Linked DNA regions of Arabidopsis thaliana. The protein of the gene in region 1 interacts with the protein of each later gene in a pairwise test. Each region holds a gene or a part of one and is shown on either strand. Other genes may lie near its edges.

Region 1 (4,613 bases):
CTCTAGTAACGAAAAGCGTCCACGGATTCTTGCAGTACACGTCTTCGCTTCGGAGGAAGTGGCGAGGCCAAACGTTTACGTTATCGATCATCATCTTCAAATAATTTGCGACGATTGCTTCTTCGATTGATTGTTCACGTCTTGACTTCATCATCTTCGTTCTTCAGTGAAACTAAGATCTCTTAGAAGAAGAAGATTTAAGGAAAATGCTGATGATGATTGATGAAGGGAGAGAAACAAGAAACGGAAGATGTAAAATATGAAGATGATAGTGTTTCTTGGGAAAGAAGGTACTCTATATATAGAGAGGCGCTTCGTCATCTGTTGGTACCGTTTATATCAAATTAGTGAATTGACCGATTTGTCCTTTGTTTTTTTCTCTTCGATATATACACTTAACGAAATTATTCTATAATCTTTGCTTATTGAAATAATTAGACCGATAGTTGTCAATATTTGTATATTTTACTTTGGTTTAAAGATGTAATATTAAGTTCTTAAATAAGAACTAAATTAGATCTATTTAACAAAACGTGAAGAATTTGCATTTTTATTTCGTTCTTTCCTTTTACAAAATGACTATGTTTTCTCTTATTGAAGAAAATAGTCAGAAATAAAATATTAATAAAAATTATTTATTATACAAGCATATTTTCTTGCAGAACATCATGTAACTTTTTTTAACACAAAAAAGGTCATGTAAATTTTATTTGTACTATTTTTTGTCGTCATACTAATCAAAATCTTCTACTCTGCTTACTAATTGTGAGATATTCACGTAAAGTACAACAACAACATCAAAAATCAAGATAATTAGACGATTTTATTGAGAAAATCACATCCCCGGAAATATTGGAGTTGGTTCTTGACTTTCTTAAATAAAATTAAAATCGCAAAGTGAAATTTAATTTTATTGTTGAAAAAAAAATATTATTTAATTCCTATAAACCCCTTAAGCATCGATTGTTAATCAAATTAATTTGTGTTCTTAACATTTTAGCAAAATTGTTTTATGTTTTTTCGGTAATTGTGGTTTCTAGATAGTTTCTAGTTAAATGATGAGATATACATACATCAAGATATGATATCTTCCATCCTCGAACAAATTGGAGTTAGTTTTGACATTTTATTTTCTTCTAACATATTAAATCCAACTGATTGTTTTTTTTTTCTTCTTCTTTTCTTTTTCAAATCCAGAAGCAATTATAACACCAAGAATTAAACCCCTAACGAAAACTCTAAGAAACACACATAAATAAAAAGCTAAAGAAGACGATTTTCTATTCACCTACCAAACCAAGAAAAATCATCAACATCATCTAGATAATCATAATTAATATCTTGTTGAGGTAGTTCTGTTGGGGGCGTAACTGGAATCCCCTCTGCCGCAGGAGGATGAACCGGTGGGAAATTAAACTGATAGCCGCCAATGAGAAAACGGCGAGAAGGTCTCTTGCAGATTACGCAAAGCTTACACCTCGAATGCGGCGGCACCGCGTCCTCGTGACTGTGAATCATCCGGTCGCAACTATCGCATAGAATCTGGTTGTGTGTAGGACAATAAACAACAGCATTTGAATTCGAAGCTACGCATAACTCACATCTCATTGCAAACATCCATCTCTCGCAATTGTTATCCCCGTGGCAGCTCCTCTCAAACATCTCTGCTCTTCTTTGGTGACCACCCACATGCTGCTGCTGATGATTATTGTTATTGTTATGGTGAACCACATGAGGCATATGTGCATGATCATGGTGTTGATTATTCATGTTAGCGAAGACGACTTGAGTTTGATGGCCATTAGTGGCACAATTGTAATGGTGCGAATAACATGATTGACAAAGAACCATCCCGTCCTCATAACAGAAAAGTATAGACGGATACATCGAGCAGTTATCGCAAAGTTGGTAACGTACGTGTTCTGCATGTATGTTATTATGATGGCGAAGGTTGTCACATGTAAGGCAGAAGTTAAGAGCTTCTGTAACACAATGGATCACGGCTGTTACATGTCTACATGTGTGACAAACTTGAGCCATGTTTCCTGAAAAATATTCATATAAGATTATAACAAAATTATCAACTTCGCAAAACGGAAGAGAAGAAACACGAATTTAAAATAAAAAAAAACATTCAACTTACACGAACCAAGGAGAGAAGGAAGCCAAAGTTTTGTTTTCTCTGTGAAACAATCTGTGAAGCTCGTATTTAGATGGAGTTTCTAATTTGTAGATTTTTTTTTAACAAACTGATTATGTAGAAGGATATATTTTACTAAGTTATATACTTATCTTTAACTATAAATTATTCTCAAAATTCAACATTACATTTATTAATTGAGAATAAGAAAGAAAAAAGATAATTATATGATATTTGAAAAATTGATCCTTGTTTCTCATTTTTTTGTTAAGAATAAAGTTTTTTTTTTTCCTTTTATCGGATCTTAAAGATCAGTAAGAATAATGTCGTTTCTTAAATTTTGATGTAGAAATCTTTTTTTTTTGAAGAAAAAAATATCCCAACTTTATCAACATAACCAAACGGGGGACAAACAGGTAAATTAATGAGTTTTTTTTTTTTGTATAACTATTTTGCTTTAGAGTTTAGATTGTTAGCTTAGTACTTACATACTTAAGTTTCTGATCAGTCTTTGTTATGATTTTCACATGTAGGTAGGAAGCTGCGCTTTTGTTCTTTTTAATGTGGAAATGCAGCCTTAACAATGGATGGTATATGAATTTGAAGCTGCTCTTTTGTGTCTCTTTTTTGATGCGGATTAGCATGCTTTTGTGTAAAAAACAACTTTGCTAAGAGTTACTAACTATTCAAGTGTTTGTATGGTTCTGTAATATGGTTTTTTGATACAATGCTAGCTTGAACTTGATGTCATGCTTAGGCCTGGGTACGAATTTCTTTTTAGCATTTAAAAACGGGCAATTCTTGTATTCAGCATCTGTGATTTCTCATTATTTTGTCGTGTAAAGTTACTAAACTAGTTTAATTTAGAATTTATAGAAAAAAAGAAGTGGCTCTCATGACAAGTAGTCTAAATTCAGTAGAACATAAGAGTTATTTCATCACAGTACTAAGAGGAAGAAGAGAAGTTGCTCTGCAATTCCTTGATGCCTTTGGAATCAAGAAAAGAAGTTTTGCCCTTGAGAAAATCAGAGTACCAATGAGCAGAGAGTCTAGGAGATCTCTTGCGATGTGGATCACTGAAATTTACAGAGTACAATCCATAACCATAATCGTACCGCCCTATAAGCTCGAATAAATCCATAAATGACCATACAAAATAGCCTCTAGTGTCTGATCCATTCCTACACGTAGCAATGTCCTTTTCCTTAATTACACGAACAAGATAAGAGAAGAAAAGATGCAATAAAAAAACTTTACTTACCTTATGGATTTGAGCACACCACCAATGTAAGCATTCATGTATTCCACCCTATGTGTATCCTTGTGTTGCGTCATCGGTGTACCTGTTTGTATATGACATTTTAAGTCCAAATCAAAAACATGAGGGAGAGACGAATAAATTAATCATAGAAGAGATTGACCATTCTCAAGAATGTAGACAGGAGGATTGTCATAGCTCTGCTTTATATACTCTAGGACAGCTTCCATAGTCCACGGAGCAACAGGATACTTGTCCAAACAAAAACAAAACAAACAATGAAAGATAGATTAGTAGCACTTATTTGTTTAAAGACTTATAATGTCAAGGAATATAAGGTGTTTTGTATCTGAATTTGGTAGCCTTAAAACTCTTACCTCTATAACTGAAAAATTCCCAAGGTCTTCTAACCAGTAAAACGAAGAAAAAATGAGTAGTAACAAATTATAAAGATAAAAGAGGTTTTTTTTTTGTTATACAAAAGAATGAGTCTGATTCATACAAGTCACATATGCGCCCATGTCTGAGTAGAAGTCCGGGTTTCCAGAAATAGAAGGTTTGAATTTGATGTTTGTGACAGAAGCCGCAAACTAATGATTGATTCCTATGAAGTCAGATGAGCCTTTAACTTGTTCTGATTCTTCCTCTGAGAAAACTGGCAGTCTTGATCCAATGGTTCTTTTCATTGTATCTGGATAGTCTCCAAATATAAGAGGTCCAAGGAACCTGAGTTTTAAAGAGCAGATTTTCTTTCTTTTCAGCTTAAGATCTTGCACATGTTGCCCAATTTGAAAAACCTTTTAGAACTGTTTGTGCCTGACTCACCAACCGAAATAGAAATCTTTGGCTCTTTGAGTTGCAATGGCATCATCCTTGGAGCTTGTAGAAGGAGTCAACCCCATTAAATATAAGCCAAAGCCTATGGAACCACCCTGCTTATCCTGCACATTGTATATAGTATGTTGCTTCTTATACATTCAAAAGAGGGTTATGTATAAGCAAGTATACCTTGTACTTTTGCTTATATAGTCTTGAAGCAGAGGCGTGCGCAAGAAGTAAGTTATGGCCTACAATATATGTTTCAGTAGAAGAGTTCCCTAACAAGCAGTTTTTGCCCGGTAAAGAACAACGACCAGGCGGTGTATCCCCATCGTTGTAACCTCCAATAGTAAATACATTAGCCTCATTGATAGTGGTCCAGAATTTGACATAGTT
Region 2 (4,434 bases), on another chromosome or scaffold:
CCTCAAGGAATTGGCTAATACCTTCACCCTGCAACATGTTAAAGACCAAAAGAGCTAAATCTCAACCAAGCTTACAGATTCACTATTTTTCAAAGAATTGGAACCATAAACCATAGAGAAGTATGGTAATGGAGTAGGACGAACCAACAGAGAAGATTCAGGAGAAGGAGCAGTGAGTTCAGCTTGCCACTCCCGAATATTCTGAGAGATTTGGGCTTCTAAAAGCGCAAGGTCACCATGCCGCCCTTCTTTCCTAGCAGCTTGAAGATGACAGAACCTCTCCTGAAGTTCCCTTAGCTTCTCCTCCACATTCTGATGCGCCGATGTGATCTTCGGGTGGTTTGACATCTCCTCTAAACCCTGACCAAAACCATTCTCAAAAATCAACTAAAATCTTAACCACAAAATACCTTAATATTCCGATTCTCATGAGGAAGGAAACAAACACATTACCTTAAAACCAAAGCAACAGAGATTGGTATCTCTCTCTCCTTCCTCCGATCTCTGGCTATTCATCACAAACCAAAACTGATTACTTAATGGAAGGTATTGAGCAGAATTCACGACAACAACAAAGCAAAAAAGCATTTTTTTAGATCAACCCAATCCTAAAACAAACCATCAGTTCCATTAGAGTCTATACAAACAAGCAAAATTTCAACCCTAAATTCATGAAATCGAACAAAACCCTAACATGAGTCTGACTAATAAATCCATAAAATTGAGAAGAAATTCGGATAAAGTTCATACTTTTTCGATATGGATGGATACAGAGAGCTTCTTCTTCTGATGGAGACGAAGAAGACACCGGAGATATCGCGATGAAGAAGAAGAACAAGGCTAAGTTACGCCAGCAAACAGAGAGCGACGATTTTGATTTTCTCGTTTTTATTTATGAAACGCCGCGTTTCATCTTCTATTGAGGGGAGGGTGTCTTTTATGATTTTCCCAAAAACAAAATTAATAAAAAAAAACTTTTAAATTTTCCAAATTCAATAGATATGCATTAACTAGATGAAGATTATTTTTTCAATTCTTAGAGATTGGTCAATTGAGAAAACTTTAATGCTTGATTAAGGAATGAGAATAAAATTTGATAAGTTAAAATTTGTCACACAATATATATTTGACAACCGAAATTGAGTTCCTCAACCCATAAAGTTGATATGCTGATAGGGTTATAATTCTATATCCACCAATTTTGTTTACACTTGTCTAGATGTGGCATACGATTGTTAGCGTTACTGGTTTATTACTTAGTTTTAAAGTAATATGTAAGTTTTCTTAGTTATGGATATAAGCTGCAATAACTCTGAAGACATCAGGGACGTCATTGTCTATGTCCTTAATGCATACACAAGCCTTGTTTCTTTCCTTTACAGTTTCTTCTAATCAATGTCAAAATCAATTAGTAATAGTTTTGGTTTCTTTTGGCCCTCCATCACTATTCACTACAATCTCTCCATATCAAAAAACTAAACACATGTTCATATTTTTAGGCTATCTTGTGTGTATATAATAGATGTTCAAATATATATAATGAAGAGATTTGTGGAGCCAGAGATGGAATATGATGAAAATGAAATGGCAAGTTATCTCCCTGCAAGATTTTGACACAAAATATTAATGCAACACAGAGTTCCCATACCACAATAACATTGGTCTCAAGTAACTTCCAATTATAGTAACAAGCAGACACATTGCAGGCATATGAGCATCATGAGTTAAGTAGCCTCTATTCAATTCCTCTTTCTCTCCCTCTTAATCATGAAACTACCTCTTTGTCTCTTTCTTTCTCTCTTTTTATTTTATTTTTTTAAATAATTTCCACTCATGATATCTAATCGAACATAGCCTAGCCTATACTCATTATTCTCCAATATATCTGACCAAACATGTAACAGACTTAAACCCTAATAAATGATCATCCGTACATGCACCTCCTTCCTCAAGTAAGGATAAAAACCACCTTCTGTTTTTGTTTCCCTTTTGACTCTATATAACACATAGTAACTCCTCCGTAGTTACATTCTTCCTTAGTTCCTCATCAAACTCAAAAATCTCTATCTATACGGTTTTCATCATCCCCCACTCTTATTCTTTCTCACTTTTGAATTAATATATACATACATAACATCTTAGTTTATTTCATGCAGGGGAGTATCATACTATCTTCATCATTCACCACCAGCATTGATCATCATCTGTTGGAAAATATGAAGAGAACACATTTGGCAAGTTTTAGTAACAGAGACAAAACCCAAGAAGAAGAAGGAGAAGACGGTAATGGTGACAACAGAGTCATCATGAATCACTACAAGAATTACGAAGCTGGGCTGATCCCATGGCCTCCCAAGAATTACACTTGCAGCTTCTGCAGGAGAGAGTTCAGATCTGCTCAAGCACTTGGAGGCCACATGAATGTTCATAGAAGAGACAGAGCAAAACTCAGGCAGATCCCTTCTTGGCTCTTCGAACCTCACCACCACACACCTATTGCAAACCCTAACCCTAATTTTAGCTCTTCTTCTTCCTCTTCAACAACAACAGCTCATCTTGAGCCTTCCCTAACCAACCAGAGATCCAAAACCACTCCTTTTCCTTCTGCCCGGTTTGATCTTTTGGACAGTACTACTAGCTATGGAGGTTTGATGATGGACAGAGAGAAGAACAAGAGCAATGTATGTAGCAGAGAGATCAAGAAAAGTGCCATCGATGCATGTCATTCAGTAAGATGTGAGATAAGCCGTGGGGATCTGATGAATAAGAAAGATGATCAAGTCATGGGGTTGGAGCTTGGGATGAGTTTGAGGAATCCCAACCAAGTTCTTGATTTGGAGCTTCGACTAGGCTACCTCTAAATTCTTTTGATTAGCTAGTATTTGTACTTCAAAATTATATCTAGTATAATCATGTTTAGCTGAGCAGTACGTGAGCTAGAGATTGTGATTGCATTCAGGCTAATGGTATTAAATAGTATTAGGCTTAAATTTATTGGAAGTCAAAATGAAATTAAAGTTGAAAAAATCTCCATATGATTTTTTTATCAAGAGTGTTCAACAGTATATGTGTTATTTTCCTAGTTTTTTCAATCAAGAGAAGATTTTTAAAAGAAAACAACGATGTTATAATTTTTTAACTTTATTAATTGTGTTATTATTGGTTATAAATTTGTCAATTTCAATCATCCCTAATGTTGTTATACAATATGAAACTGTGTAGTAGAATTACGTGCAGTATAGAAGCTAGAAATTAGGATTAGAGAAAGTGGGTTGCATGTGTATGTGAGTATTAAGAAAGACAAAAAGTGATAAAGATTGCATTATTATAGAGATGGGTTGATGAGACACAGACGCATGCGACAAAGTGGTACTATGAAACATATAAAGATGGATGATGATCAATTGACTCATGAATAGTTAATGTTTTCATCTTTTACACTCACCATCACATCTTTATGTATAATTACATATATCTAGCATTTCTCATGCATGTCGTGAAAGCACTTAATGGTATGTGTGCGTGAAAAAAATGAAAACAATTTTCTCATTGTTGAGAAAAATGTCTTTAAATTATTCCACATTCAGTTTATATATAGTCGAAAGCCTGAAGAACCGTTGGAAGATGGAGAATTCAGAGTTGTGAATGTGACTTTGATCAAATTCGTGTGCCTAAACAAACGAGAGTTTGTTAATCAAATTAAATGCCAGGCTAATATCTAAATATGCCTCAGTCAAATTCAACCACTCATATTGACCAACAAAATGTTACTATTAAATTAAAACAATTTTATACTTCTTTGATTCATCACACGTGTGAGTGTGGATGGATATGTAGTTCAAAAAGAGACTTCATCCCTAGTTATTTCTTCAAATAATAATGTCTCTTTTCGAATATACAATCAAAAACCATTAAATTTGAACAATATTCAATTTTGATGGCATGTGATTATACTACTTTTTTTGGTCATGGAATTCAATACCATATCAACTATATTTATACTAAACATGAATGAATGTAGAGAGTACAGACAGATCAAGAGCCAAGAGTGTAGGAGACAAGATTAGAAAATTAGAAAACAAGTGATGTGAAAAGGAAACAAGAAAATGGAATGTTTGGTCAATACATTTGGGATGTTTGTGGTTTCCCCATGAACAAATTTAATCTGACATTTTCCATCTTCCCCAACAATTTTAATTTAATATATACAATCCATCATCACCTTTCCTTTTTTAGAATCGATCACTTTCCACTCTAATCTCTACGTTCCCTTCAATTCTTCCCTTTTCTATGAATAATAATTACAGTGAGTTTATTTGTGTTTGGGTGATGTGAAAGGTAAGAGATTTTCATCATGCAGCCTAATATTTTTCTACTTCTTACAAATGTATCCCCAAGTTTTAGTGTTTCTTACAATAATCACCTTCCGTTGCA

What was found.
Region 2: the proteins of BBX26 (region 1) and ZFP11 interact in a two-hybrid assay, tested with the Arabidopsis thaliana proteins (one large-scale study listed by BioGRID).

What each region holds. Positions count from the first base shown.
Region 1 is NC_003070.9:22,215,793-22,220,405, forward strand, and holds BBX26 (B-box zinc finger family protein), read right to left. Parts: upstream 2,041-4,613; coding exon 1,285-2,040; downstream 1-1,284. Other genes in the region: AT1G60240 (NAC (No Apical Meristem) domain transcriptional regulator superfamily protein), read right to left, coding at 1-154.
Region 2 is NC_003071.7:17,655,934-17,660,367, forward strand, and holds ZFP11 (zinc finger protein 11), read left to right. Parts: upstream 1-1,890; 5' UTR 1,891-1,934; coding exon 1,935-1,952; exon of another isoform or gene 1,953-2,074; intron 2,075-2,155; exon of another isoform or gene 2,156-2,156; coding exon 2,157-2,861; 3' UTR 2,862-3,043; downstream 3,044-4,434. Other genes in the region: VOZ2 (vascular plant one zinc finger protein 2), read right to left, coding at 1-28, 145-348. UniProt on the Arabidopsis thaliana protein: Probable transcription factor that may regulate cell division and growth.